Linked DNA regions of Canis lupus familiaris. The protein of the gene in region 1 purifies or fractionates together with the protein of each later gene. This does not show direct contact. Links are inferred from orthologs where the notes say so. Each region holds a gene or a part of one and is shown in the gene's direction. Other genes may lie near its edges. The genes, in order: SNRPA and SRPK2.

Region 1 (3,574 bases):
CCCCCACCCCCAAGTGTATTTTTGGAAGTAAAACTCCAGCATACTCATTATAGTGTTTATTTTCGCTCTTTTTGTTGACTGTTGTTAGCATTCGATTTTTTCCAGTGTTGTTTTCTTTCTTCTATGTCAACAGAGCTGGACCACACTGATTAGTTTTTCTTTGTTAGAAAAATTTTTAAGTTTCTGGTTTGATGTCTCCCTCGAGCCTGAGTTGGGTCTGTTTTGCTCCATCCATTTTCTTTTGGATGACCTTTGTCTCCATGGGTGCCTTTTTTTCCACCTTGCAAGTCTGAATCTCTCCCTGGGTCTTCTGACACTCTCTTCTGTCTGCTGACACCAGACTCGATCCCTCCTGTCTGCTGGGTGCCCCACTCAACCCTGTCCTCCCTCTCTCTGCAGGGTATGCCCCCAATGACTCAAGCCCCCCGCATCATGCATCACATGCCAGGCCAGCCTCCCTACATGCCGCCTCCTGGCATGATCCCGCCTCCAGGCCTGGCACCTGGACAAATCCCACCAGGGGCTATGCCCCCACAGCAGCTTATGCCGGGGCAGATGCCACCAGCCCAGCCTGTAAGTACCTACTGCTCCTGGGGTCTCCTATGAACAGTCAGAACATGGGAATAGAAAGGGATGGGTGGGGGTGCTGTTTTAGAGCCAGAGAGGGATTATATGTATGTCGGAGGAGCTTCAAAAGGTCAGGGTGAGGCTGGAGCAGTGACCAGAGCCCAGCTTGATTCAGTGAACTTCTGTGCAGCATCTGATGAAAACAGCAGTGTTCTCTATGGCTCTTAGTCTGGTGGGTGCAAGGTGGTGTAGACAGGCAACATCAGGCGTGTCAGGTGAAGGGGCCAGAAGGAACTTACGAAGGGACAGGGGTAGAAAATAGGAAGGCAGTAGGTTCTCCCACTAGACTCACAGGCTCTGTCACTTCCTTGCAGCTTTCAGAAAATCCACCAAATCACATCTTATTCCTCACCAACCTGCCTGAGGAGACCAATGAGCTCATGCTGTCCATGCTTTTCAACCAGTAAGTGGGGCCAGTAGCTGGGCAGGGTCCAGAGGGTGATGGCCCAGGAGTTGGCACCGTGGAGACAGGCCTTGGAGTTCTGCTGGTGGAGTCTTGAGTCTGCTTAGGATTTGCAGGCAGAACAGTGGCTTGGAGGCATAAAGGGTGGAGGCTGAGGCTCACAGCCTGAGGAGGTGTGGCAGTGGCAAGCCTCAGACATAGCATGGCCAAGGGAGCATTGGACCTTCCTTGACTTCGTGGGAGGTGCAGGGGTCCCTGGGCCTCTTCTTTCCAGCCTCTAAATCAGAAAAATGCCAGGTGTGTATAAAACAACAGTGCAGTGGCATCGAGCACTGGCTAGGCTGGTCAGAATCGGCACACTCAGACTGCACAGTAGGAGGTTAGGGATGTTGGCAACCCCAGTGCTGGTGACGGGGTGTACACCACTATGGCTATTCCACAGGGTAACACATTCACTGTTCAGTGAAGGAAGGGTTGTGTGCTCACCTGGTGGCTCTGCCTTCTGGTCTTCTAAAAGTTTTTTTTTTTTTTTTTTTTAAGATTTTATTTAATTATTTATTTGATAGCCAGAGAAAGCTAGAGAGCACAAGTTGGGGGAATGGCAGAGAGTGAGGGAGAGGAAGAAACAGACTCCCCACTGAGCAGGGAGCCTAATGCAGGACTGGATCCCAGGACCCTGGGATCATGACCTGAGGCGAAGGCAGATGCTTAACTGGCTGAGCTTAACCCCTCCTAAAGCCATTGTTAACAGAAGTCCCAAGGGGTGTGGATGGACATGATTCCTCTGGGTGGTAGGGAGTTGGAGGCAGCCCCAGGGGAAGAAGCCAGAGGTCAGAAGGGCTGCTCACTGTGGCCTGCTCTGTGGCAGTTGGGGAACAGTGCAGTGCCGATGGTTCTCTGTAACAGTGCTGGGAGGGAATTTTGAGAAACTCCGTAAGAGGGAAAATACAGTATCATACGCATATCTTTCTGTGAAACAATACAGACTCCGTAAGAATAGGTGCAGAAGAAAGTGTACCCAGCAAACATGAGGATGGTTGCCTAATGGGGAAGGAAGTTGGGGAAGAGGGAGCGGAAATGAGAGAAACAGCAGATCATAAAAAGTCAGGGTAGTGTTTATTTCTGGAACCCGGTGGTGGGTATGATCAGGGAGGGACATGGGGGCAGTGTCCTATTCCTTGATCTAACTTATGGCTGCATAGGTGTTCACGTTAAAATATTTCCTTAAATGACATGTTTACATCGTGTGTACTCGTTTGTGTCCGGGCTCTACAGCTTAGGACTGTATACACTTGGGCCTGGATGATCCTCTCTTACTATGCATTGTAGTGGATGTTTAGCAGCATCCTGGTGGCTTCTACACTTCAGATGCCAGAACATTCGGGGAAGATGCCAAGTCTGGATCCCTGAGGTCTCTTCCCTTCTCCCCAGGTTCCCTGGCTTCAAGGAGGTACGACTGGTCCCCGGGCGGCACGACATTGCCTTTGTGGAGTTTGACAATGAGGTACAGGCAGGGGCCGCTCGCGATGCACTGCAGGGCTTCAAGATCACCCAGAACAATGCCATGAAGATCTCTTTTGCCAAGAAGTAGCACCTTTTTCCCCCTGCCTGCCCCTGCCCCCTGCTCTGGGGCCACCCCTTCCCCCCTTGGCTCAGCCCCCTGAAGGTAAGTCCCCCTCAGGGGCCTTCTCAGAGCCGTGTGTGAGTGAGTGGTCGCCACACAGCATTGTACCCAGAGTCTGTCCCCAGACATTGCACCTGGCGCTGTTAGGCCGGAATTAAAGTGTTTTTTTGAGGTTTGGTTTTTCACAACCAATTGTCGTTTTTATTTTTCATTTTTTGTCTTCTATGCTGCGTTTTCTTGCATATCGGAACATTCTGGGTATTTGGACCTGTTAGCGTGTTGGGCTTTGCAACTTTGGGGAAACACAGAATAGTGTAGTAACTTTCTCTAAGCCTCAGGCATCTTTATTTAATCCTTTTGGAAAAATTTCTGTTTTGTCTCAGTCAGCATTCAGCAGGAAATTAAAACCCATGCTGCCATGTAATCTTGGACAGGTTTTGTACTAAATAAGGATGCCACCTTTAAGGGCATGCCATTCACTTTGTAGATTCATATGTTTTTTTTTCAAACATAATGGAATGTTAGAGGTTTTTTGTCTTTTTTGAATCTTCACAAAAATTGTTCCATCCTAGCAACAGTCCCCAGAATCCATGCTAGATACTTCAGGAAGAAAAGAAAGGGAACTGAGTGCTCAGGAACTCATTGGAAGAAGAGAAGGAGTGGTAGCCTGGGCTTGAGACACTTGAGTTGAAGTTTGCAATCTCCTCCCTCTGCCTGTGTCTCTGCCTTTCTCTCTCTCTCTCTCTCTCTCTCTGTGACTATCATAAATAAATAAAAAAATTAAAAAAAAAATTTAAAAGAAAGAATGGGGATCCCTGGGTGGCGCAGCTGTTTGGCGCCTGCCTTTGGCCCAGGGCGCGATCCTGGAGACCAGGGATTGAATCCCACATCAGGCTCCCGGTGCATGGAGCCTGCTTCTC
Region 2 (4,245 bases), on another chromosome or scaffold:
TCAGAACCCATGAGTTCATGATCTAAGCCAAAACCAAGAGTCTGACACTTAACCGCTTAACCAACTGGGTGATCAAGGCAACCTTTATTTTCTATTAAAAAAACATAGTCATCCTAGTAGGTGCAAAGGGGTGTCTCATTGTGGTTTTGCTTTGCATTTGTCTAAGGAAATTGAGCATCTTTCATGTACTTGTTGGCTATTTGTATATCTTTGGAGAAACGTGTATTCAAGTCCTTTACTCGTTTTGAACATAGACCACTTTTTTAAGTAGAAAAGAATAAAAGCTGGCCTTACTATAGAAAAATGATTAAATGTAACATCACGAATAATGAAACAAACTGACATCATTTCCTTTCTGTTGCAACATACTGAGATGGACACAATATCATCCATATAGCGTACTTGCCAAAATTATTTAACTTGACTTTAACAGGGAACAGATGACTACAAACTGAGGAACATCCTGCAGAACAGTGAATTGGATTCCTCAAAAGAAGTCAATGTTATAAAAGAGAGAGAAAAAAAAAAAAAACCCAACAACAACCAGGGATTATTCTAGACTAAAGGAGTGTAAAAAAGACATGGCAATTAAATGTAATGGACGATTCTTGATTGTATCCTGGATAGGAAAAAAGTCAGCTACAAGGGACATTTTGAAAATGTGAATATGGCCTCTGTATTAATATTAAATTTTCTTGGTATGATAATGGAATTCTGATTGCGTAGAATATCCTTGTTCTTGGTACTTATTGACATGTTAAGGGTAAAGAGTAACGATGCAAAAACTTCAATAATTCAGCAAAAACGAAACAAAGGAACTTCCATAGGCACACATACACACAAGGAAAGCAAATGTGATGAAATGTTAAAAATCGGTGCATATGGGTTAATACGGGTGTTCATTATATTTTTCTCGTAACTTCTCTGTAGGGTAGATCTTTTTGAAAATAAAAAGTTGAGAAAGTACTTAACTAGAGAGAACAAACTGATGGTTACCAGAGGGGAAGTGGGTGGGGATGGCTGAAGTAGGTGCCGGGGATTAAAGAGTCCACTCCCTCTGGGTGATTAAAATAAAAACTTAAAAAAAACATGTTGAGAAAGTAAAAGTTCCATCAAGTCTGAGCAGCGCTTTCAGTTCTTTGGTTTTAGCATCTTTAGGATCAGACTAGTTACTTTGGTCAGCTAAGAACACAGTCGTAGAACCAGAGAGAGTCCGCGGTGGGGCGGATATCTTTCCAAGACACTGTAATTACTTAAACAAACAAAGGAAGAGAGTGCAGTTGTCATTCGGACCCACTATCAGCTTGATTCCCATCTTTATCAGGCGGCATGATCCATGGAAAGGCTTTGGAGTCAGCTAGGCCTGAACTTGCACGGTCCCTCCGCAAACTGTTCAACTACTTTGGACGTCGTCGCCTCCTCGCTGTAAGACGTAGGCAACAACTGCTTGGTGCGATTGTTGTGTTAAATCGTCAGACGCTTGGTGTTTGGCGAGCTGGGCTTTAATTCAGGTGCAAAGAACCCAACAAAACAAAACAACGACTTCATCACGCTTTCCATGCCGTTTGCATCTTTTCCCTCATTACGCTCCAAGCCCGCAGTGGGGTTAGGTGAGGCGGAAGGAGGAGAGGACTTCCCCAAGGTCACACGCTCGTGCGGGTCCCAGGTGTCCCCGCTCCCGGCCCTGTGCCCTTTCCACAGCCGCCAGAGGGGAGCGGGCGGCGCTCATGGGGATGCAGGGATGTCGGGGAGCAAAGGGGGCGAAGAGGCCGCGCGAAGAGCGGTGGTGCGAGACCCGCGGGGGCGCCGGCCGAGGAGGGGCGCGCGGGGAGCGCGGAGAGGCGGGGGGCCCGGGCCGCGGTGCGTGGGGCGGAGGCCGGGCGGCCGCGGCCGCGGGGGCGGGGGGCCCCGGACGCGGGGGGCGGGGGGCGGGGGGCGGGGGCCGGGCGGCCGAGGGGCGGGGCCGGGGGCCGGGGCCGGGGCCGGGGCGCGGGGGGCGGAGGCCGGGCCGCAGGCTGCGCGGCCGGGGCAGGTGGGCGGGGGGCGGGGGGCGGGGCGGGGCCGGCGGGGGCGGGGCGGGGCGGGGGGCGGGGCCGGCGGGGCGGGTCTCGGCGGCCCCCCGCGGGGAGCAGCGGCAGCGGCGGCGGCGGCGGCGGCGGCGCAGGCGCGGTGGCCGCCTCCTCCCGGCTGGCGGAGCGAGTGGAGGAGGCTGCAGCCCGGCCCGGCTCGGCTCCCGCGTCGCCGCCGCCGCCGCCGCCGCCGAGCCCCCCGCCCCCGCTCGGCCGCGTCGGGATGAGCTCCCGGAAAGGTGAGTGGCCCGCGGCGAGCCCTCCTCCCCGCCGCGCGGCCCCTCCGGCCGCCGGCCCGACCGTTAATGGGTGTCTTCTCTTTCCCCAGTGCTGGCCATTCAGGCCCGAAAGCGGAGGCCGAAAAGAGAGAAACATCCGAAAAAGTGAGTCCGTGCCCCGCGCCCCCGGGCCCCCGCCCCCCCGCCCCCGCCCGGGCAGGGCAGCCCGCGGCCGCGCAGGGGAAAGTTGCGGGATCCCGGGGTCGGCGGGCTCGTCCCCCCCCCACCCCCCGGGGACGCGGGCGCTCGCCTCTGCGCCCCGGCGGGCGGCCCGGGGGGAGGGGCGGGCGGGCGGGCGGGGGAGGGCGCGTGCGGGCCCGCGGTGCCCGGCCGAGCACCCTGGACCCTCGGACCCCGGACCCGCTCCCGCTCCCCCGGCGGCCGCCCCTCCCTGCGCGCCGCCCGCCGGGGTCGCTGGCGTCCCCGCCCCGCCGCGCCGCGTGCGGGCGTGAGGCTGCTGCTCGGCTCGCACCTGGGCACCGGCGCCCGGGAGCCGTGGGCTCCGCGTCCTCCGCGTCCTCCGCGCGCTCCGCGTGCTCCGCGTGCTCCGTGGGCTCCGCGTCCTCCGCGTGCTCCGTGGGCTCCGCGTGCTCCGTGGGCTCCGCGCGTGTGTGCGCGCGCGTGGGGCCGGCCTCCTCTTCCCCCCCGGCTCCCCGCCTCCCGGCCTCTTTGCGGAAAGCCGGAGCCGGGTGTCCAGCGGCCGGCCCGGGGGTGCCTGGCGCCAGCCCAGCTCCGAGACCTGAGCGCGCCGGCGCCCGCCGGGTCTCCAGTCGAAACTTTGCGCTCGGGCCGAGCCGCGCTGCGCCCCCGCCGCCCCGGGAGCTGGCGGGAGGGGGTCCTGCTGGAGCCGTGCCAGCCCCCGCCCCGCCCCGCCCCGCCCCGCCCCGCCCCCCAGTCCGCGCGGACCCGAGGGGGAGCCTTTCCTGGAGAGCCGCTCGGAGACCGCGCAGCGCCCCCGCCCCTGGCTTTCGGCGTCTTTCGCTCCTGGATGCGTGGCTTCTCCCTTCCTGTGGAGCGAGACACACTCCGTGGCATTGGGGGTCTTGTAGGGAACGGCGGCCCGTGATCATCCTCAGGACCGGGTCTCGGGGGATCGCCCTGCGGCGTTCCTGGGCTTCCCCCTCCTCGGCGCCTTGGTCTCTTGCCTGCAGAATTTCCTGCCCTCCCTGAACACTGCCCTGAGGCCTCACCAGCGCGGTGCTGCTATCATGACAATTTTTCTGTTCACTCGAGATGGGATAGGGCTTGTAAAGCATTTTCAGGGTTTTCCAAAATGGGCATCTCGCTATAGTTAATGCCTTTTCTTGGAAGACAAAAAAAAAAAAAAAAAAGATTATATTAGAGTGACGGAAACATACTTATGAAGGAATTGAGGAACTGGTGGGTAAAAAAAAAAAATCTGATACTGGATTCTTAAAAGGTGAAAACGGGATGGACGCGGTAGTTGGAGATGCTTTACAAAATGACTTGGCCAGCTTTCAAGTCAGGGCCTTAAATTTGGGATTTCCTTTGAATGTCGGAAGATGAAGCCCGCGAGTAAGGAAGAACTGTAACGTTTAGGATCCTGAGTATTGGGTTTTAAAAACAACCTTAAATACAAAGCATTTATTTTCACATATTGCATTATGTTTAGAAATGTAAAAGGGAATTGGAAAAAAAGCGCGTCCTCGGTTTTGGGAATGGCTATGTGTGTGTATACACGTATGTAATGTGTATGTTGTATGTGGGCATGCGTGTAGAAAAGCAGTTTTAGTTAACTAAGTCAACACGTATTTCATATTTTCATGTTTCAGGGAATGACTATCCTAATGGCCAAGAGCCTTTTTTGGTCTGCTGCAGTTTGGATTTATGTGGTATGTTTATAAAGAATTAGCGTATATCCACAATATCCAGTTTTT

Evidence for each region.
Region 2: the proteins of SNRPA (region 1) and SRPK2 purify together in Homo sapiens (affinity purification with mass spectrometry; 4 studies listed by BioGRID and IntAct, with this or other methods). This does not show direct contact. The link is inferred for Canis lupus familiaris from reciprocal best matches to the Homo sapiens genes SNRPA and SRPK2.

What each region holds. Positions count from the first base shown.
Region 1 is NC_049222.1:113,801,487-113,805,060, reverse strand, and holds the end of SNRPA (U1 small nuclear ribonucleoprotein A), read left to right. Parts: intron 1-399; coding exon 400-573; intron 574-941; coding exon 942-1,030; intron 1,031-2,461; coding exon 2,462-2,621; 3' UTR 2,622-2,846; downstream 2,847-3,574. UniProt on the Homo sapiens protein: Component of the spliceosomal U1 snRNP, which is essential for recognition of the pre-mRNA 5' splice-site and the subsequent assembly of the spliceosome. U1 snRNP is the first snRNP to interact with pre-mRNA.
Region 2 is NC_049239.1:15,286,989-15,291,233, forward strand, and holds the start of SRPK2 (SRSF protein kinase 2), read left to right. Parts: upstream 1-1,324; 5' UTR 1,325-1,329; coding exon 1,330-1,425; intron 1,426-1,712; exon of another isoform or gene 1,713-1,727; coding exon of another isoform or gene 1,728-1,860; intron 1,861-2,213; exon of another isoform or gene 2,214-2,292; coding exon of another isoform or gene 2,293-2,308; intron 2,309-2,397; coding exon 2,398-2,452; intron 2,453-4,140; coding exon 4,141-4,200; intron 4,201-4,245. UniProt on the Homo sapiens protein: Serine/arginine-rich protein-specific kinase which specifically phosphorylates its substrates at serine residues located in regions rich in arginine/serine dipeptides, known as RS domains and is involved in the phosphorylation of SR splicing factors and the regulation of splicing.